Linked DNA regions of Oreochromis niloticus. The protein of the gene in region 1 purifies or fractionates together with the protein of each later gene. This does not show direct contact. Links are inferred from orthologs where the notes say so. Each region holds a gene or a part of one and is shown on either strand. Other genes may lie near its edges.

Evidence for each region.
Region 2: the proteins of stip1 (region 1) and ccdc117 purify together in Homo sapiens (affinity purification with mass spectrometry; 5 studies listed by BioGRID and IntAct, counting the BioPlex papers as one, with this or other methods). This does not show direct contact. The link is inferred for Oreochromis niloticus from reciprocal best matches to the Homo sapiens genes STIP1 and CCDC117.
Region 3: the proteins of stip1 (region 1) and irak1 purify together in Homo sapiens (affinity purification with mass spectrometry; 3 studies listed by BioGRID and IntAct, with this or other methods). This does not show direct contact. The link is inferred for Oreochromis niloticus from reciprocal best matches to the Homo sapiens genes STIP1 and IRAK1.

The regions. Positions count from the first base shown.
Region 1 is NC_031975.2:9,398,133-9,405,929, forward strand, and holds the start of stip1 (stress-induced-phosphoprotein 1), read right to left. Parts: upstream 3,045-7,797; 5' UTR 2,901-3,044; coding exon 2,892-2,900; intron 723-2,891; coding exon 513-722; intron 416-512; coding exon 274-415; intron 1-273. Other genes in the region: spata22 (spermatogenesis-associated protein 22), read left to right, coding at 5,816-5,921, 6,711-6,848, 7,065-7,254, 7,556-7,797. UniProt on the Homo sapiens protein: Acts as a co-chaperone for HSP90AA1. Mediates the association of the molecular chaperones HSPA8/HSC70 and HSP90.
Region 2 is NC_031977.2:18,803,378-18,810,442, forward strand, and holds the start of ccdc117 (coiled-coil domain-containing protein 117), read right to left. Parts: upstream 3,046-7,065; 5' UTR 2,894-3,045; intron 2,474-2,893; 5' UTR 2,409-2,473; coding exon 2,266-2,408; intron 2,116-2,265; coding exon 2,065-2,115; intron 1,960-2,064; coding exon 1,690-1,959; intron 1,056-1,689; coding exon 912-1,055; intron 553-911; coding exon 309-552; 3' UTR 1-308. Other genes in the region: tcn2 (transcobalamin-2), read left to right, coding at 3,702-3,765, 4,224-4,413, 4,522-4,685, 4,969-5,121, 5,551-5,723, 5,814-5,988, 6,077-6,257, 6,334-6,452 and 1 more. UniProt on the Homo sapiens protein: Facilitates DNA repair, cell cycle progression, and cell proliferation through its interaction with CIAO2B.
Region 3 is NC_031984.2:5,048,826-5,056,578, reverse strand, and holds the start of irak1 (interleukin-1 receptor-associated kinase 1), read right to left. Parts: upstream 3,014-7,753; 5' UTR 2,773-3,013; coding exon 2,661-2,772; intron 1-2,660.

The DNA.
Region 1 (7,797 bases):
AAACTGTTATGGGATTAAATTCACTAGCTTTTCTCTTTCTGTAACTTGTAGTATTTACCCACAGTCTGATTAAAAACACTCCAAACTCAAGCGGACTGTCTCCTTCATTCTGAAAACCTAAGCTCAAAAAATGCATTTTCACTTCAGTGATGCTGTCAGCAGCCATCACAAAATCCTCTACCCACACAGAAACAAAAGGTGACTCACACACTTTTGACATAATTATGCGTCGTTTCTGTGCAGCTCAAAACAAAAACACAATCCAGTCTTTACCTGCAAGCTTGGCCTCAATGTTCTGCAGCCCATCCTTTAGTTGCTGATTACTTGGCTCCTGTCTGAGTCCCTCTTGGTAAGTTACTCTAGCATCCTCCAATCGGCCAAGAAATTCCAATGCAGCAGCTTTACGGGAGTAACCCTGGTTGATCACATTTGAAATATTTTAGACCGTCTCCTCAATTTTAATAACTATATATTCTGTCAACAAATCAAAGGCATAAAAAAGGACATCTCACCTTCCCCCAATCAGGCTTGATCTTGATAGTCTGACAGGCATCCTGGAGAGCATTCTCATAGTTGCCTTTCTTGGCATAGGCAGCTGAGCGGTTACTGAACAGGACATGGTTGGATGGGTCAACACTCAAGGCTTCGGTGTAGCAACGTATGGCCTCATCGACATTTCCAGCACTCAGTGCCTTGTTTCCTTGGTCTTTCAATGCTGAAGCCTATGAAGCACAGACAGACAGACATGTTTACAAAACCTCTGTTTTGCAGCTCTGCTGCTCTAAATACACAAAGACACAATCCTGACTGGAGAAAAATCCTTCACAGCTGCTACTGGCAGAAGTGAAAAAGGAATTGACAATCATTCAGCTGTTAGTGTCAAACAGGTGCAGGAGTCTTGCAGAGAGAAAATGTTTTTATTTTGTTACCGCATTGACCTGAAAATAAGCCCTGCCTCACAGCAAGCTCAAAGGTGACCCCACTTTTGTGTCAGTTACAGATAATGATTTTTTTTCTTTTAAACTAAAACAGAGGTTAGATAGCTAGACGTATATTACTCTAAAAGTTTTCTCTGCAGGAAGTTAGAGTGAATACAACAGCAAACCATACTGACAATGCTAAAGAAAAAAAGAAAAAAAAAGGTTGTCAATATACTGTACACCCTTTGTCAATTAAAGCTGCTTGTTACAGTTTGTGAAGTAATCGCGCTGTGCCTCCTCTGAATCTAACAGAATCAATGACACGCCAAGAAGAAAGAAGCACCACGCTGCTCCAAAAAGGTTTTCTCACTCCCTGCTGGCTCCTCTTGAAAACTGTCTGATAAAACTCAGTCCACTAACAACTAGCCACGATAAAAAACTTTCAAGTGTTATGTGGCACAACTTTCTTCTTAGCAGTCATTAGACCTAATCCAGTCTGAAACAACATAGCTACATCACAATCCCCTGCAGTGCTATAGGGTTTAGTCAAAAAAAAAAAGTGAATATTCAGTAAATATTATGGAGCTTAAAGGAAGGGATAGCTGATTATATCACCAAGGTCCAGTTGTTGACCAAATGCTTCACTTGGATACATTGTGTGAAGCATTAAGTAATCACAGTCTAGTCATTTTAGTACTTAGGGTGTAAACAATGTGCATATAGTTGTAATAATCCACATATAATCTTTACTAAGTCGGTCCAAAATGAAAATGAAACCTGTAGATGTGTTGCACCATGGTGAATGCTGATCAAGAACCTTGAGGCATACATCAAGTCTTACTTTCACAATGTGTCAAATCCTTAATGTAATATTTCTTAGTTTGGCGTTATCCAGAAAATACAAAAAGGTAATAAAAATTAAACTCATGGACAAATTCCTCGCAACATCAGCACATTTCTAACTAGGCAGTGCCCTCTTTTGACTTCTAACGTGCACCACACTTATTGATTTTATGCTGGACAAATAGGTTACCGAGTCTGAGCGCAACAGTAGTTTTTAAGTAATAAAAATAGCTCAGATATGAAATCCATTCATATCTGTGAATGCAGCTGTTATGCGGAACGTTCGAGAGGACGCAGCAGTTGACGACAACATGCGGCTGTAGCCATGACAGCTTCGCCTGTGTGTGCATCTAGAATGATCCTCCGGTGTGAGTGCAGACTGCCGATGGCACCGCTGAAGCTAATCCAAAAATACTCCTGCAGCATGTGCTTACAGACCGACTGCTGCAAAAGCTCACAGTCGTCTGCTTTCGTTTTATAAAGGGGTCACAAAGGTTTTGTTTGTTTGTTTCTTAATAAAATCAAGACTCTCTGTTTTTCTTATCCTGACATACTGATAAAAATTCACGTTGTGAGCCAAAGATAGCGTTTGACTGAGATTTGGTAACTTGTATATTGCCCATGTTTGCAGAAGGCTAAAAGGCTGGTTTACAACACCGAGCCTACACTGTCCACTGGCAACAGCGGCAGGCAAACCTTACAGGGATAATTTTACGTAAAAAGCAAGTGTGACAAATTAAGTTGCTGCACGCTAGCTTAACAGTTAGCTAACCTTGTCGTGTGCTATCATAAGTGAGACACAACCTTGCGCGAATAAACATTCAAGTTAACTTGCACTTTTTGAAATATGAAGTTAAGCAACATTGCAGTTTAGTGCTGTCAAAATGTTCTGTGACGGGTGAAAACGGCAAGCCCAAATGACTACAACACCTTACTAACGAGATTACGCTAAGCTAACAAGCTAACTAGCAAACAGTGAGCGGTCAGGATAAAGAGCTGACTAACCTCTCCGACCTCCAAATTATTGTAAATAAATTTTTTCCCAAAGAACTCAAAGGAATACACAAATATGTCTTAAATATGATAGTTAGAAAGTTTTAATTATTAAATAAGTAGCAGGACACTCACTTTCTCCATGGTGCAAGCATGAGGTTCCTTTCCAGAAACTACTGTGAACTAGCGCCTCCCACTCAACAACATGCAGGTTGCCAGTTTAGGAGGTAGAAAATCCGTAATCAGCTTCCAGATGAGCGTTTCACCCGTGAGGGGAATCTGAGCAATAATATATAGCACAGTAGCTGAAACTTCCAGAAGATGAGCGAAAACCCGGTGCTACGTTACACAAGATGTGTTACTGGCTCTCTGAGCAGCACAGAGATGAGGAAGAGGTTGGAAGTGAGGGCATAAACATATTAACCCCGAAAATATTATTTAGACCAGCAACTTATTCAAAGCCGGTGATGTTTGTATCTATTTATTTTTGGCACACTAAAACAGATAAACACGACATGCAGACAATGTCCAAGACAAAATCTCAGGGTTACTCACCCACAGTTGCACTAGACTATAAGTTAATGAGTCTGCTGTTTAGTGATTAGGTTGGACTGTGTGAGATTCCTGTTTCCAAGAAGAAGAAGAAAGCTGGGGTGCTATGGAAAAGGTCAAGAAAAAATGTGCATGCAATCAACATGACTACAGTGAAGCTGGGATTTGTTATGTTGTAATTGCCTCATCTTTTAACATTCTATTTGGGAACAGAAGAGTCCAGTTGCTGTAGTCCTGAAAGCAAAATGCTAAACTTATTCTACATAAAGGATTTCATGTTCTTTACACTTTGGGGCCTGCTCCCCCCCCCCTTTTAGTATTTTTATGTTTTCAGTGCCTGACAGGCCTGTGTGGGGGAGTTCTTTATCAGCTGGACAAGGTGTAAAATTTTTGAAACACACAGTTTTAAAAGCTCAAAATTTATGGCACACCCATTGCTGGGCCAAAACTGGTCCCCTTGGCTTTATGTTTGACATTCCTGCTACTGATGAAATCTCTTTTGCCATTTTACTCTTAAATTGTTTAACTATTTGGACCAGTGGACTTTTGCAGGGAAATAAACCATCCCAATTTTTATTCAGAAAGACTCTGCCTATAGAGAGTTGTTATAGCTGATTATGCCATTAGCACTGTCACTGTCTCTATGGAATCCCAGAAAAAATCCTAATAATTTCAGCAGCTCTGCCGAAATGATTAGGTATTTTTTTCTCACCTGGAAGTCTCAGCTTCACAAATTATCTGTTCATCAAAGAGTTTCTCAATGGATCAAGAGGACGTGGAAGACATTCTGAATAGACCATCAGTGCTGCTGTTGCTATGGATTCACAAAGCTAGAAAAGTCAAAACATAGAAGCCAAGATCAAAAGGTGGCCTTCGAACTCAGCACATTGAGCCTCAGGCACTACACAAAACCAAGAGCAGAGATGGCACTGCTGTAAACCTTTGCCCACGTCTTTTCTTATGCACTCAACCAAACATGGCCTCATTTTCATTTGATTTTCATCTCCTGAAGCACCACCAGGACTGATCGCATCCACATTTCACCATGGCAGAGACTTTAGTAAATGAGGTGACGCTTATAACACACATTTTTGTACATTCTAGTTCTTTGGATTTGGGTAAGGATGAGAAATCCATGTTTTCCTGTGGTAAACAGCACACTAAGAGAAATGAATGACAGCTGTGTGTGGAAGTAGGTTTAAAAAGTAACATAGGAAGCCCGCTGGCTGTTAGTTTGCTCTTTGTCTCACTCCCCCATCTACTGGAAGACAGGGGTAAACAGATTGCTGTTATCACACAAATACACACACATCCTACTGTTTCTGTCTCCGCTTGTGTGAAATGCTAATCATGTTATAATCTGCATGTTTATTTCCCTTCACAGAGTCGTGACTTGCTTTATATTCCACTGCAGTCATGCTCTGCACACCCGGATTCAGTCATATTCATCTTTTGTTGTAAGGATAATAATGTTGCAACTATTGTGATCTTAACAACATGAATGTAAAATTTCACTTTGCTTAAAGGACAAAACACCTGCAGTCATCATATTTCTGTTATAGTTTCCTAACGAATGTGCAGTAATGTAATTTATGTCTGTAGAAGTAATATAAGTTGGTTAAATAAAGGCCAGCCTGACAGCCTAAGGTCAGACTGACTTTTATCTAGCTCAAATTAAACTTTGATTTCTATTTATTGTTAATGATTGACAAGAATTATAGTGCATAAATGTGAACTTTTGAAGCTTCTGAAGCGAAACATAACAGAAAAAGTTTGCTTTTTAATCATTGCTGCAAATGTTCTAATTTATCATTATATTATTATTTATAATTATGGGTATAATAACACATAACATGTGCATCAGGCGACGGTCAAACAATAACAATTAAAATATCACCTGCTTTTATTAGAATTATTTTTAACCTGGAATTTTAAAATTATGTCATGTGCAGTTGTGGTCGGAAGATACACTCATGAATGTGATAATAGTTTTGCACGTTTAATGATTTCTTTGAACTGTTTTTCCAGAGTGGAATTATTGCACTACATACATCTTTAATGACTTTAAATTTAATTAATTTAACAAATTCTACCAATTATCCCAAGAATTATGGTTAAAAATTCAGCCAGAATTATGACAGATGCTTGATGACAGCTATCAAACGTTTCACCCATATTGGGGTGGGTGTATTCTTGTATTTGAGCCTGTATGTATACATTTGACCCAGTGTGTATTAGAAAAAAATCCCAAATAAATTAGAACTTAAAACTTTTTAAAGTCATTAAAAGAGAGATGCTGGAAAAAGAACAGTTCAAAGAAATGATTAAAAACCACAAATTACCATGACATTCATGACCTTTCCTGATTGCATTTAAAATTCTGACCACAGCTACTGTATGTATAATCATTTTGAATACAATATTGCCAAAAAGGACCGCAGTGCTTAACACAAGAAATATTCCCGGTTTAAGGAGGGATACAAATCCCTGGGAGGGTTGCATCGGAAATGACATTCGGTGTAAATGAAATATGTGGATCCATCCACTGTGGCGACCTCTTGTGTATAAGAGAACAGCCAAAAGCAGATGATCAAAAAACATCACAAACAAAAGGTAATAGCTCACAAAAAATATAGATGTCACGGTAATTATTTTTTGACCAGCCGTTATTTCGAGGCTGCGTTTACAAAGTCCAAGCTTGCTTATAGACCGTGAAGGCATCACCTGTCACCGCGAAGTTTTGGCGCTTTCAGAGGTGCTGAATTTTAACTTCCGTTGTCTTAGTTTTTTGTAATACTTTGTCAAGTTTTCACCAACAACGACCTGGTCATTTATGTAAGATGTTCACAGAAAATGGGTTGGTTCTGTAAAAGCACGACACTTTGAACTTTCAGGCAGTAACTGTATGACATGTCTAAAAATTACAGCTAGCTTATTAGCTAGTGAGCCAGAGCAAGATAAATTAGCTTAGCTTACTACTTTCCAAGTTAGTTAACCTCCAGCACTACACAGAAAACCAAGCGTATAGTCTTTTTCTTTTACCTTTGTTTTCCCTGCTAAAAAAGTCCTGCCAGTTAAATAAACTGCAAACTAAGCAAGTACAATGAAGAGACAGGAAAACCAGGCGGCCAGGCCTACATCAGGTTGGTAAAAAAATAAATAACTTCACAGTCTGCACACCAGTGTATTCATCTCCACCTCATAGTCATTGATTTCTTTGACTCCAGCCAGGTTGTGTGATAGAGCCTTTGTGTGTGGATAAATGTGGCAAGCTGTGGAGTTTATTTGTACATGAGGAGTTAAATAGGTTAAATAATGAACAGTCAGTGAGTATGTGGTGTCATTAAGCATCATGTTGCGCTGTGGTTCGTTCACTGGTCTTTCCTCTGCCGTTTTCTCCAGGCTGCCTCTCTGTGCCGCTCTTTAACCAGAAGAAACGAAACAGGGTTCCTTTGACCGCTCTTCCCTCTGAGAATGAATTCTTTTCTCACAGCGAGTACACACCAAACACCGGCTCAGCCATATCTCACAACCCAGCAGGTGAACTGTTCATTTTCTAAGCTTCTGCTTTATTTCTGACACTAGATGTCAGTGTATCCACAGAAAAATTAAACATACTTTTAGGTATGCTTGACTTTACATGTTTTTAGAATATTGGTTAGCATTGTAAAGTCATTTATATAACCCGTCACATCTACAGACAGAAGTTGTTGTTTGTTGTGATAGTTTACCTGTGAGAATTGACCTTTTCTTTAGGTGCCTTTGGGTGTTACCAGGCCTCAGGTTCCCCTTCTGGTGTCCCTCAAAGCCAACAGTGGAACAGACAAAGCAACTCACAGGCTGCTCCAGCCCAGCAGTATGGCAGCAACAGACCTGCCCCTGGACCTACCCCTTCAACTAGAGCCTATGGACCCATACCTCATCCATACAAAGCTAAAGAGAAAAGGTGTCTTTAACTGATCATTGGTTACACTGTAGCTTCTCTCTTTTCTTATAGCTCATGTATGTAAACTGCTAAAATATACCCACATGGTATTTAACTTGATGAATTGGTCTGTGATAATGACATGTGGAAAAGTTTTCATAACCATGGATATTATCATTGCACTTCAAAGTTCTTGTTTAAGCTGTGGCACTTAAATTAGTGCCTAGTTGACAGAGACCAAAGAAATTCAGATGTTATCTTTTTAAAAGTTTAAAGCATGTCACAGGACTACTGTTTGTTGAATGCTGGGCTTTCATTTCAGCTCAGTGATGAGACAACCCAGCAACGCACTGGGACAGCAGGATTCCAGCTCTGTCATCAATTTCAGACAGAGCAAATATCAAGGCCCTCGCGGCAGCGAGAGTGGACAAAGCCAGCCAGTGCCCCATACAGGGTTATCTCAGATGGGTCGGAAGTCATCTTATGGAACATCCAGTTCCCCGCATCAGTATTCCCAGCAGTCTAGAGCTCTTCCTCCTCCAGTTCCACCACCCAGGAGGCAGT
Region 2 (7,065 bases), on another chromosome or scaffold:
AACATAAAAGTCATTTCACTTCTTACGGGAAACATTAATACTGCGAAGTATTATGTAAGGCTACTTGTTGACAGACCTTGGAGATTATGTCAGTTATTATGTTACAAGTGGGATTGAATGGGATTAAAGTCAGAAAACATAAATTGCTGCAAAGAAAATGATGCGCTTCACAAACTGTTCAAAACTTCACAATATCCATATAAAGGCAAACTGACCAGCCTGAAGTTGTTCCACGTCTTTTTAAATCTTTTCACTTGGCTACAAGTGTCCAGTCTTTCATTTTGGCATCACTTTGTGGAGAAACACTATTACATTTCCATCTCCTCCTCCCCAGAGTTGTGGGCCACAGAGAAACTGTACAGAGGAGAGTGTGTGTCTGCTGGTGGACTTGAGGGGTTAAGGGGACTGTGAGGACTGGGAGATGGACATGGAGTTGGAGTCTGCCGACACGCGGTCTGTTGTTTGCGCTGTTTTTGTAATGAGTCCTTAAGTCTCTGACTGAAGGGATCTTCTGGTGGCCGCCATAGCACCAGCTCCATACAGGAACGGCTCCTAAAGTGTGAGAAAGACGAAGGTGACACAAATATTAGCATCCCTAAAGAAGTCCAACTGCTCTGACTCTTAATCAAGAAACTCTTGCCAGTTGAAAACAATATTTGCAGTCCGTCTCACATCATTACTAATGTTTTTTCTTTTTTTCCTTCTTATGTTGTAAATTTCCCGGTACAGTCTCTTATTTCTTGCTTTTTATTTTATATTCTTTTGTGTGAATCTGCATGCTCCATCTGCCTGTCGCTTTGCTGCTAGAACACCTGAATTTCCCTAATGAGGGACAATAAAGTATATCCATTTCTATTCATTACTTAAAAATCACCATTAAATGTTCCAATAACAAAATAAAGAGAACATACACAGACTGTGCTACTGTGTGGGGGAGGATGTCACTGATGCCCTGCTGCAGACCCTTCTTCAAACTGTCAGACATCACCAGCACCGGGCGTCTCGGAGCTGGCTCTACATCCAGATCTTCATCCTCATCGTCCTCCAGTGTTATTCTGTGATACATCAATAGTACATTGTGGGTTGTCACTCTTTCTTGTGATGTAACCCCCAAAACCTTCACCAACACTGAATGCCAGATAAAAAACCCCACTTTGAATGATATAAATGGAAATGTTGAAGGGTGAAGGGTCTGAAGGGTGGTCTGTCGGCCTGACATATACATTGTATGCACATTATAAACAGAGGCCTGTGCTTACAGAGGTACGTTCAGGATTGACCTCGAATACTCAGACTTCAGAACTTTTTACTGGGTTACATCACTATGGTTACTTATTCTACACACCAAAACCTGCTTCGGGGCCTGTACAACATACCCAGGATTATGTCTCCATTACCTGGTTTCACTTAACCCATCATTCGCAATCAGGATAAGCAAGCATATGAAACAAAATCTCTAAGCTAACCCAATGTTTCCCCTGCATGTTTACATGAAAGGGCTTGGCAACATCTAACCAATCACAAATGTGGGTTGGTGAACTGGCAATAGAATCAACTCGTTTTACAAAGGAAGATAAAACTATTATGCAGAGGTTAAAGACAATACACAACATAACACAGCTGCTGTGAACAAATGACCAGTTGTGTTTTGTTCTGTTTTTTTTCTCCCAAATGTTATACATTGCATACCTGTCTTCTATCTCCTGAAGTTTTCTCTGTGCGGCCTCGATCTCCATGCAGGAGCTCTCTGTCTCAAGTCGGAACAGGGAAGAAGAGGTCTGCGGCAAAGTGGTGTTTTTAGATGTTGTGCAGGACTGTGGAGCCGCAGGGCAGGCTTGCTGTGCAGACGGAGGAGAGCAGCTGTTTGCGCCAGACCAGTCACACTCTGTGCTAGTGCTCAAATTTGAAGGAGCAACTTCTGCCTCAAACATTAACCTCCTCTTTTTGGCACTGCATCCCCTGATAAAACAATCATATAGTTTAACACTTATGTAGGGCTAAGACAAGCATTACCAAATGCTTGTATTCTTCTTCTTTTTTTTAAAAAATTCATATCTCACTTACTCATCATCTGCTCTCCTCCTGTGCTTCCTGAGGCATCTAGTCTCCCAGTTGCTGTGGAATAGAGGCACAGGAAATGCCTGTGTCAGGCTCAGAAATAAAAGTATATTTCAAATTAAGCCAAAGCGTGTCTGACAAATGTGGTGAAAAACAAAAAAAACAAAACAAAAAAAACAAATAGTGCACAGTGCAACAGTTACATACCTGTTAGAGACTGTCGCTGTCTGTACATCCTCAATCATACTTGAAGGTCCGAGGTCGAAGTCGGGAAGGCTTGTGGGGCCTGAAAAGGAATACATGGCTGGCAGGCAGCTCAGCTCACTGCTTGAGGGCGCAGGGTGATGCATGCTGGCCCAATCGATTAAATGTTTTTGAAGAGCTACGCGGGTAAGCAGCTATTAACGACTTTGATCTGGAAGATCAGTAGTGATACCAGTCAGTTAAGCTGATAAAGGTTTTTTTTTTTAATTTAATTTTTTTTTTACAAACTACATGACGCACATGTTATTTGTTTACATCGCGCTAGCTGCCTCCTATTTAGCTAGCTATAATGCTACTGCCGTTAGCATGTTAATGATAAAACTGTGTTATTAATAGATGAGAGGTAAGCACACGACAGCCTCATCCCTGCACTGAACAGCCACTCTGCACAAGTTAAGCAAAAATATGTGGCGTTAAAGAGCGAGTTGTGCAGCTGCCCTGCCCCATTGCCGTTTTTGTTGTTGACAAATGTGTTTAGTTAGCTCGCCTCCGTTTAGAGCTTATTTATTCTCCTTTAGAGAGTTCCCATTTGTACACAAAAACAGTTTTTACAAGCTAAAGTCGTACTAACCTAATCGCGTGATACCCCGGTCGAATAGAAAAAGATCCAAAATTAACTGTCACCGTGCTCTGTGGATTTCTACGATAGGCTGGGTCAAACTGACGTTAGCTCCTTATTCTGAATACTGAGTCGCGCCAGAACAGTCGTCAGGGTTCTAGAAAGTGCGCATGTTACGTTTAGTGGGATTGTGGGAAATGTAGTTCCAGTGGATGTACTACAAAGTGTAGTTTCCGAAAAAGAAAAAAACAAGACCAAACAAAAAACAAAACAAAAAAAAAACGTTGTCGTGGAAATGTAAAAGTGATCTCTAGTGACAAGATGGTGTTGGCATTTTATTTTTTAATATTAGAGATTTTTTTTCTTAATTTCCTGTCAGCTGACGTTTAAAAGGACCCTCTCGCGTTATGATTGCAAATGACCAGTCATGTGACAGTGAAACACTAGAAGCTGTTGTCCCAGCTCGTCTCGTCACTCGGCTGTGATTCCTCACTTTGGACGATCCGTGGAGGTAACACGCTGCTGTTTATAGGATATGGCAAAACAACACTTTGATTTTATAATCATGTGATACTTATTGTCTGCAGTGATGCTGGCACACAATCCATGTCACTATAAATCAGTTATTTTTATATTTATTGTCTATTACTTGTATATTCCTTCCTCAAAGTTCCTTGCATTTTTATCACCCGCAATGACTGTATATCTGTTTTACTTTTACTGTTTTTGTTTTTAACTTGAACTGTTTAGCCGAGTTGATTCATTTTCTGTGTGTCTGTGTGCCTTCTTTTTGTATGTTTTAACCAGCAGGTTATCCAGAATGATAACTTTGTTGATAATCTCAGCACTGATTGGTATTGGTTTTGCCTCTACCATACCATGTGGTAAGTAGGCCGACTTTAAAAAGACGTTTTTACAAATTAATTAAACAAGAAAAGAAAACTTAACTATACTAAACTTTTTAAAGCTGCATTAACTCTGAGGCAACGCAGTTTGCAAATACACTTACTGACGAGTCTGGACATTCACAGATGTTGCAATTGCGTATTTAATGAATGTGAGTGATGCATCGTGTTGCTTGTTTACTTAGTTGTGCAGGATTAACACGGAATGTGGCTCCTCTCTGGCCTTGATCTGCTGCGGGTGTTGAACGCAGTAGTGATGATTCTGTAACTTAGTGCATATGGTGTTTGTCACAACTGCTGATGCAGCAGCTGTGATTTTGCAACACTCTCAAAAGTTCATGTAAATGTCAACAGCAGCAGAGCAGAGATACTTATATAGGTTTCGTTTGTGTCAGGTGACTTTTTTTTTTTTTTTAACCTATAAAGTTAAATTTCAGATACAGATGGCTCCAACACTGAGCTGCTGCTTTCACTCAACAAGAATCTCCTTCGCTCTCTGGAGAGCCAGGAGGGACTTCCTAACCCCAGTATCCACTTGGCATTACGCCTTTCCAAAAAACACAACCTCGCCAAGGAGAGCGAATACCTCAACAGACTAAAAAATGAATTGCACAATGACATTCAAAGGTACACACACACACACACACACACACACACTTATGCAAACTTAAACACTTTCTATGAAGTCCCCTTTCTCCCCAATGTTCTCTACTGAGCCTTTTTTCCTCCTCTCAGCTCTCTCTCTAACAGTCAGCCTGTGACTGGTGTGCTGGCGCTCTACAGCCTGGCTTTAAAGTCCTCCTGCTATGATCTCAACACGGTCAGCTTCACTGTGAACGAGAGGAGTCAAACACTGCTGACACACCTGAAGAACCAGATGGAGCTGGAGAAAGAGCACTGTAAGGTTTTTTTTGTTTGTTTGTTTTTTAGTTTTTGAAGGGCAATGGTTGTCATAAAATTTTTCAGCAATCCTCTCATTTTTGATGTGCTACAGTATCTGACCAGAGTTTACCTAATGTAGAGGACGGGGGTCATATTTCATGGTTTATGAATTTAGCAGGGATAGAGTAACTTTCTGTCTAATTTCATCCAGAGTGAAATGCCTCATAATTTCTCAAACATTGCTGTGAAGTTGTGGTTCAGTGTAATGTGGTTTCATTTGCATTTCTCTCCTTCATTCAGTCACCCACCGCCCTTTGACCAACTATTACCAGTACTCCCTGGGTGTGCTCGCTCTCTGTGTGAGCGGCATCAGGGTCAACAACCATGTGACCAACAAGCTCATCAAAGCAGCAGAACATGAGCAGTTCACACATGGAGAGTCTGAGAGTGTGGGTAGGTGAAACATGCCTTAATGGTGTCTTTAGCTGTTAAAATAAAGGTGAAATAATGATGCAGGAGTCACCCTGCTATTACCTACTAACAATCATGGGTTTAGAATAAATTAGTTCACCGCTGATGACATGATGGAGTATATTCACTGCCGTGTTACATTTCAGATCAAAATCCATTGAGTTTGAAGCTGAGGCCACCTGATGGATATTTAACAGGAAGCTCTACATACAGTTTAGCTTTCAGTTCTTTGTCTATGCCACAGTTTGCTCTGGCGAAGCGGTTACCTCTTGTACTGCTAGCTTAGCTCTCACTAAACATCTACATTAGTATGCTGTGAAAATGTTAAAAGCTTTTCACTTTGTATTTTAGCTTTGAATACAGCTGTAATGATGCAGTCGTGCTAATATTTTATCCAATTTCTCTCCTCAGATACGTATGCCATGGCTGGAATGGCACTCCAGTGTGTGAAGGACACTGGTTCTCACATGCAGAACGCTGCTGGGCTGAACACGGCTCTTAGCAAGATCAAGGGGAAGCTTCTAGCCTCCCGCAGGACTGATGGTCATATTGGCAATGAATTCAGCACAGGCCTTGCAGTTCAAGTAAGGATCCTTCCCCTCTCTCTCTCTCTTCAGAGACTTCTACAGAGCAATATCTTTGCAGCTGAAGTGTGTTTATTTGATGTGTTCAAGGCCCTGTTAGCAATGGGCAGTGAGGTTGCAGAGTGTGCCGCCTCAATGGAGGCCATGAGGACAGCTGCTAGAAGCAACACATACCACAACCCCATGGCCATCTCTCAGACTCTGCCTGCTCTCCAGCAAACATCCTACGTGGCAGTTAAAAGCAAGGAGTGCCTAACTGAGGATAGTATGTGCAGCATCATTTCTACCCTCTTTGGCCACTTTGGGTTGTGTCTGTTGCCACTAACATTGTTATGTGTGTATCTTTCCTGCAGACACTCTGGTGCTTGAGCCCTTGGATCCTACAGTGGTTCCACCAAACCAGGTCAAGGTGAATGTGATGGTGGAAGTGGTGACATCCAGCGGAGCGGCAGCACGTTACCCGGTGGATGTACCAAAGGGCAGCTCCCTGCTAGAGGCTCTTGAACTGCTCAAGGAGGAAAATCGTGGCTTCACGTGAGTTCATGCCATTGCATTTTACCTTGGGTATGACTGGCTGCAGTGAGTAGTCTCTGACGATGCTGTATGGCAGGTTTGAGAAGGAGTCCAGCCTGTGGGGACCTTTCTTAAGTGTGGTGAATGGAGAGCAGGCCAGGCAAAGTGACCGCAGATACTGGCACCTCTCCTCAGATGGCACTGCACTCACTGAGGGTGAGTAGAGACGCGCACACACACCCATGCAAACACACATTAGAATGTGATGCACAAACGAGGATTTCGTTGATCTGCTTTCACTGTGTCTCTGTCAGGTGTTGGCGATTTCAAGATTGAGGTGGCTCAAAGGATCACCATCAGAAACACGAGCTACTGATGTTCCAGCCAATCAGTGACTAGATGATCAGCACTTTTAATCTTTATGAACTAATGATTAGACCTAAATTGTCTCTTGGCATCATATATCAATAAATCCCACAGTTACTTAACAGAATGTTTGCATTTTAAGTAGATATGAAGATCGAACAAAAGTGTAATTAAGAGCTATTTCAACAAGGTTTGTGTTGAGTAGTTTTACTTTGGAAAACGTTTTTATGATTATAATACAATTACTATGACATGTCAATTAAAATGACTTGTGATTGTGCTCTGTTGAAGACTTTTTAAGGACAATTTGTATGCTTTTTATATTGTTACAAACGGTATAAGTCAGTGACGGTTGATTTGAATAATTGAATTTATTTTTTTTTATTTTTTTGGATGGCTTTTCAAAAGTATGTAGTTTGAATTAAAAAAAATAAAAAAATAAAAATGCAGAATAAAAAAAAAT
Region 3 (7,753 bases), on another chromosome or scaffold:
TCTTTGTGCCTCTTTTTGAGAGTTAATGCAAATTTCAACACTCTGAATCAACATCTTTTATTGTCTTAGTTTGTCATGAAATAACAAAGGAACAGGCTTCCCTTAGCCAAGACATGGCTTCCAAGTTAATTGTCCAATCACTTTTGAGCCTCTAAAACTGTGCATGATGCTGCATTCCAGATACCTCTGAATCCAGATGTCGGAACTTGGAAATTAGGGCGTTCCAGAAGAAGTGAGGAAAAAGAGGATTTGTTTTGGCTCTTCGCAAGGTAGAGATATTCAGGAATCACTAGCATGCACCTATGGTATCAATTTGAAAATCCTAGATGACTTCATTCTGAAAATCTTGTGAATGCAATGATTAAAGAAAACTTGACCTCTGGCCTTGACCTTGAGGTTGAGGTCACTGAGATTCAAGCTTGTCTAAGATTTTTAGTAGATGGACTCATGGTATCAATTAGAAAACCCTACGTTGCCTTGTTCTCAAGTTATTGTTTTCATAAACTTGGGTGTCCACGCCACCCGCCTGGCAATGACAATTCCCATCAGCCTTTTACAGCTGAGGGGTAAAAATGGCTGTAACTCCTAGAAAGCTAGCGCGGTTCTTTTTTTAAAGTGCTCGAATTAAAGCTGAAAGTCTGCACCAGAACCACATCTTGATGATTGTTTTAAAATTTCACCGTGGAAGTGTACAGAGGCGAGAACACGAAAATAAAAATTACTCCAAATACTTACTGAACAACACATACTGCATGTTGATGCATGTGATGTTATTTGTCTTATTTAGCGCGCAACATTTGCCCTTATATATTTTTTTAACATCTTTATCTGTTGCTTAACACTTGTGACTCATGCTTCAGTGCTACAGTGTTGCATTAGAGTTTGTCTGAGAGATTTCAAGGACATAACCAGCGCACGTGCTGTCCGCCGCAAACCACAACTCCATCACCTGATGTGGGTGGGATACACAACTGGGCCTGACGCTTTTCAGTTTGAAAACAGAAAAAAATGACCAGAGTTTACCACAAGGAGGAAGAGGTGCAAAAAACCCCAACATAGACTAAAGAAGCAAACAGGAAAAGTACAGGCGATGGCAATTTATTGTTCTAACAACTGGTTTCATTTCATTTCAAAGAAGTGCTTGTTCTGCCGTCTCCACAGCAGGGCAAAAATGAAATTACCAGCAACAGCAAAAAATATGAGCTGGAACAGTCCACATTAGTGGTACTTTGTCTCTTTTTTTTTGAGCTACAACAAGCCAACCTTCATGGTTAAAACAAAAACGAGTATCAAAAACTGATTTTCCTTAAATAGCCACTTGAGGTAATTCGATAAAGAGTCGCCATTGTGGCTTATACTGACCAGGATAAGCCACAATGGAGGGATGTCTCAGGGATCACAAGTAGCTGCCTCCGATGGCTGCGAGTGTGATGCAAATTCGAACTGATGGTGATATCAGAGGAGAGGTGCAGGGGGCCAAAACACTAAAAGGTGAGGAGTTTGCAAAGAAAAATCTGGGACTCTCGGCCATTTGACCTTAGAACTGAAGAAGCTTCTCGGATGAGAGGTGAAACATCTTCAAGCAACTCAAAGAAGTCCAGACGCTTTTCTTTGCAAACTCCTTTGACTACGATGACCTGGATGACTGAGAACCTTCACAGACACTAAAAGGTGAGGCTTCAAAATAACATCACAATCCCTGGCTCCATCATCTGTATACAGTTTCTGAGCCCTACATCTAAACCTTTTCTCCCACCTCTAACTGCTCTAGTATTTCTTTTCACTGTTCCACTTTGACAGCTGTGAATGTTCTCTAATGCTCAAATATAAGTCTGTGCCTTTGTCGTTTTTTCTGTAAAACTTAAGTTATATTTAAGTAGAAAAGACTGGCAGAGGTCTTCCTCCCCACCATCGCCAAATGCTACTTATACAATGTAAAACTTTAAAAGTGTATTTCATTCTAAGAAAACTTAAGATTTTTCAAGCCACCTGAACTCAATGAAGTACACCAACATAACAGAGCTCTACCTAATTTTTAGTCAAATAAACCCCACACAACCTTAGTTAAGAGAGGTTACAGTAAAACAGAAACATTCTGGATTTTTTGAGAAACCTCAAACTGTTCCTAATCACATTTCATTATGTGTCAGAACACAGGCATTTCAGTTTCTGTCACATTCCTGTGCTCCGTATTTACTCAATATTAACCAAGTGCACTTACAGATAACGTCTACCAGAGACTTCCTCAAAACAGACACCGGTGAATGTATCTATATTTAGACTAACTCTAGTCAAAATGTGACCTGATATTGGAAGAAAACTGTACCTGATTTAATCTCAGCTGACACTCACGCTAAAATAATATTTTATTAATATTATTATATATTTTAAAACTCTGTGGAAATAGATGGGACAGGTAAGCCCTGTACCTGAGGGCAGACCGAGAAGGATGAATCACAGCTGAGGCTCTCACAGCTTGTTTAATTCTTATTTTCTGTAGTGATTTCATACGACAGCGGTTAAAGTTGAAAGTTGTTACATCGAATAAACACGCTAGAGTTTATTTTGATGAAACACCCAATTAACGGTGGGCTCCACCGTCCCTCCTACCCCACGCTGCTGGCCTTTAGCTCTCAGTCAATGTTCGGGTTCTGACTCACCAAAGCGGGTCCAGTCCTGGTTTGACAGCCCGTCCATGATGCGGCAGAACTCACAGTCAACGGAGGCGGGCAGGTTGAAGTACAATACGGCCCTCGGGTCTCTTCCCGACATCTTTACCTAACTCCTTCTACAAGTTAATCCACGCTGAAGCTAACAGGCTAACCGATGACAGCGACCACTGCGAGGAACTCTGGGCGGTCTGTAGGGTATCAGGTTCACACAAGGACCTGGATCACTGGGTCACATCAGAACCGCCCGGAACGAATCTATTCAACCACTTCAAAAACTCTCTCAAACTACAGGTTTGAGTCTTCCAGCGCTTCCGCCTGAAATAAGCTAGCTGCTTCCGCTCCGTGCTACCAAAATAAAAGCCCGAGTAAATGAACCGTTTTAAAACTTTTTTCTTCACTTTTCACTTCTTTTTTTTTAAACAAATGTTTTACCTCGTGAGCCCCATACACCCCCATTTGATCAGAAGTGGACCAAACCAGTGAAATTTCCCTTTCTGACAGTTTAAATCAGTTTAATTACACATTTAATCCTCGAGATGTCTTAATAGGAATAGGAATAGGAAAAGAAGACAGGACGGACAGAAAAAAGCACATCTCAGTTTTTCTACATGACAAAGAAAAGCTGTCGTGGCAAATGAAAAAAATCTGTCAGCATGACTCTGGGTTTAAATTGTAAGACATAAAGTTATAAAATTACTGGAAAAAAAAGTTTGGGTAGTTTATTGACTATCCTGAAATAATATAGAAAGCTTTTGTTAATTCGCAGAAAATGACACTTTAAATTGTGCATCCTTTATAACAAACAGACATTTCTGTAGCAGTAAAAACAGGAACGTTTCTTATCACTCCCTGATTAGTTTGGTTTAGCATTAATGACCATGGGAGAGGTCTTTATCTGTGGAAAATAAAGCTGTAAAACATAGAAAAATGCAGCTAAAAGTAAATGTATTCCTTCACATTTTCAAAAGCTGTCCAGTGGGGCCAGATTGGAGTCTTTGCTTGGCCGAATTTCCAATTTATTTATATTGTTTATATGTATTATTTTTATTTATGAAGCACAGTCAAAATTCAAAAATAATTTAAATTCATTGTTTGGGGGGGTTAATGATAATTACTCAAGCATAAAATGTACTTTTCATTATTAAATCACCAAAAATAACCAGAAAATCCAAGTATTACTCTTCTCTATACCATGATTTGTATCAGTGTATTACATCAGACCGGTCGTTCTTACATGCAAAGTGTCAGCTTCTCCACTGTAACCGTTTCCTGGTTAAATATAATTTCCTGCATGACAAACTCCAGATTGTTGTTGTTGGTTTTTAACTATCAGTCGGAAAATAGGATATTATTAGAACTAGAGCTGCTTGATTTCAATCACAGTTATTTTGGTCAGTGCTGAGATTGCTGTGATGGAATCCAAATACTAACAGTTTTGAAAACATGTAGATGTATTACAGTTATAAAATGTCCTTTTCACATTGCAATTAATGTTAATTAATGTTAATGCAATTAATGTTTCCTGCAATGCATTGAGCTATGTCACCTGAAAGAGACACTTTATTGTAATATATTAAGAGATTTCATCATATTTTAACTTATTTTATATTAATTTTTATGCTTACAACATTTTATACTTGTTTTACATCCTGCAGGACTGATGTCTGTAAAGACCTCGTTTGTGTATCTACATATGACTTTCATCTCATTACAGGAAGTCCTAAGTGAGTATTTCCTCGTGGCTTTGACTAAAATGAGTCATTTTCCTGTCTTAACTATGACAAATGTGAAGCATTGCATTGCATTACATCACACACACACATACACACACACACACACACACACACACACACGTTTCACACTTCCTTTTTCTCACCTTATTTATTTGAATGTAAGTGGTTGAATGAAACGCCTGAATGCTTCATTAGCTCAGTTCAGTTTGTTTGTATCAAAGGATTAACAACAGCAAACTGTTATTATTAATACCACATACAGCTAGAATAACAGCATGAAGTAGAACCGTGTAAACCGAAGGACTGAGTCACGTCTCGGCGAAAAACAGAGAAGCTCGGTAGTTTTGCTGACCTCAGTGGAGATATTTGAAAAAATTCCAAGTTTAAGAATCTGGTTTTGTCATCAGATTAATAATCCGTCAGGTATGAGACTGCATGAAGATCACTGGGACTCACGGTCACCCTGTGCAGCTGGGCTCTCATATCTGAGGCTTTTGCTTGATTGTTTTTTAAAGATACTTTCTATAAACTACTCAACCTAAAGGATATTGAGACAAATTCTAAAAATTAGCACAAATTAATTTTTGTGGGTCCCCTCCAATGCTGAGGTCCTGCTCTACTACATAATTGTCATTTCAGTCCACTGCTGCCTCACTGCAGGAAGGTCGTGGGTTTGAATTCAGTCTGGGGCTTTTCTGTGTGGAGTTTGCTTGTCCTCCCCATGTATGTACGGGTTCTCTGCGGGTGCTCCGGCTTCCTCCCACAGCCCAAAGACATGCATTGAGTTAGGTTAACTGGTGATTCTAAACTGACTGTGTGATCGTGAGCATGAACGGTTGTCTGGCTCTCTGAGTTACCTCTTTGACAGATTGGTAAAAAAGACTAAAAAATGTGCCACCATTACGCCACCCACTGTTGAAAGCCAAACAGATTGTTTTTGCCAACTTAGTGTTTTGAAACTGGACATGACGTGTGAGGCGTGGATATGACTGTGAAAGTGAGCACACCACGGGGTCATTAGTCAGTGACAATACCCTGGATTTTCCTCCTTTCTGACTCTGATATTGTCCATGTTAAAGACAATTGGCCAAAAATGCAATGTTCATAATTACCACCAGGGGGCGACTCAAGTGGAAGCACATGGTGAAAAAAATGTCCCTAAGATTCCCCGCTCTGTGACCTCAGTGAATGGTTTCATTGACTTTATGGGCTTGACCACTAGTTTCATGTTATACTACATAAAATGGATGACGTTGCACAGTTGGCTTGCCCACGAAAAACGCTCATTGGCTCCCCTGTGGTCATCCTGTACGGGTGCCACGGTAGTTTTAGCCCACAGGGCCCCCATGACGGTTTTCTGTGGGTCAACCCATAGTGTGTTTGCCCACAGAAAACCCACAGACGGACCCCAACAGGCAAAACTGTTGTTTATCCAGTGTAGGCCCGCACAGGCAAGAAGTAAAAGATATCAGAGAATATCCAATTTTCAATATATTCAAGTCAGCTTATTTGTTTGATAGGATTTGAGTTTATTGTTGTTGGGTTTTTTCACCCCTTTGAGGGGAAGCGGATCCACACTGTAGTGGTTTACATTCATTCATACATACAGTCACTGTTGGTGCACTGTAGAATTTTGCTGTCCTTGAAAGCTCTTCATCCTGCAGCTACATCACTTTGGCTGAAAGATGTTAAGTGTTTTTTTTTATAAAAACTGGAAAAAAATCAAATTCACACTCAGAGGGAACGCCTGTAAGTTTTTACAGATGTGGCAGTCTTTTATTATTTACTTTAATTCCTTGAAAACAACTGGACTTGCCTAATTTTAAGTATCTTATTGGGTCGGACCTTGGGATGGGGATTGGTTATAAGTTGTTTAGTAGTTTCCAAAACAGCTTCACAATTGTTAATGGCTGGAACTGTACTGATTTATACCTTTATATCACTTGTTTTTGTCGACGCTGATAGGTCAAACTACATGTGAATGAAGTGGAATTTATGGCTCAGCAGAGGGAATGCGTTCACAGGCCGCTGGCAGCTCGGGGATGGCCCGTCTACCTACAGCACACTCTGTTGTAGATAGAGGAAGCATACAAAATATGTGGTACAGCTGGCCTGTGGGTCACTTTCACTCTTTGTTGGTCCGTCAGCTGTTGTTGGTCCGTCAGCTGTTGTTGGTCCGTCAGCCAGCCCAGGAAAAGGGCAAAGTTACAAAGAGCTGAAATGAAATCCACTTTTAAAAATAATAAAAAGTGTCTGCAGTGGACACTTTTTATTATTTTTGCTTTATTTTTGAGCTTCAGTGTTTGCTTTGTGCGTCTCCAGTTCCTGGTGAACTCCGCTGTTGCTCTCTTCCCTGTTCCAGCCCACTTATCAACCAATCAGGATTTGGCAGACCCACCACCTACGGATAGTGGAGATTTTGGAGGACTGCACAGAAGCACATCTGTGGTGAGTGAAAACCCCTCTCAGTTCAAACGGAAATGTGTATGCAGACTGACACAATTCCAGGACATAAATTACACTTAAGGAAGCGGCTAAAATTTGATTTGTTTTATATTCATTGAAAAATTAAGAGTCACGCTCCATACCAGTTGCTGGTGGTAATGTGCCCTGGATTGTGGTGGCCGGGTAGTCAGCCCACAGGGTCTCAATCTAAAATGTGGGACACACCTGGGTCCACACCGAGGGTATGCTGCAGACCCACAGTGGGGTCCAGGTGTGCCCTCATTTTATGCTAGTACTTGCTACAGTGGGCTGCCAGTAATGGACTGTGTGGGTCTACCCACAGTGCGGCCAGATTGTGGGGGCATTGTGTTTGTGTTTTGCTCTTCTGCAGGTAATCTGGTTTTAATATGTGCTAAACAAGCCTCCAAAAAACTTTTACTCTTAACAAGTTTCACTTCATTTTTAAATAAAGGGTTAAGATGGGTCACTGTGACAGCAACAGGGTATTCAAGACAGTCTTTTCCCCAGCAAGTTTTCCAGTTACTCTAGAGTCATTCCAAGACAATCGTTGGCCCAGATAAGACATATATCATCTCCACAGTGTGTCCCCTGGGTTCTACTTCCAGCCCATGTCTGACAGGCATCCTCATCAGATCCCCAAACCATCTCTGCTGGCTCCTTTCAACTTTAAGGTAGCAGCTCTACTCCAAGCTCCCACCAGATGTCATCTCTAAGGCTAAGGCCCAGACACTCAAATGAAATCAAATCAAATTTTTATTGTCACACGACATGTGCTGGTTCACCAGTACAGCACATACAAGTGAAATTCTTGTGTGCAAGCTTCACAAGCAACAGAGGTATGCAAAATACAAATAACATAAGAACAAAGCAAAATATAGGAAT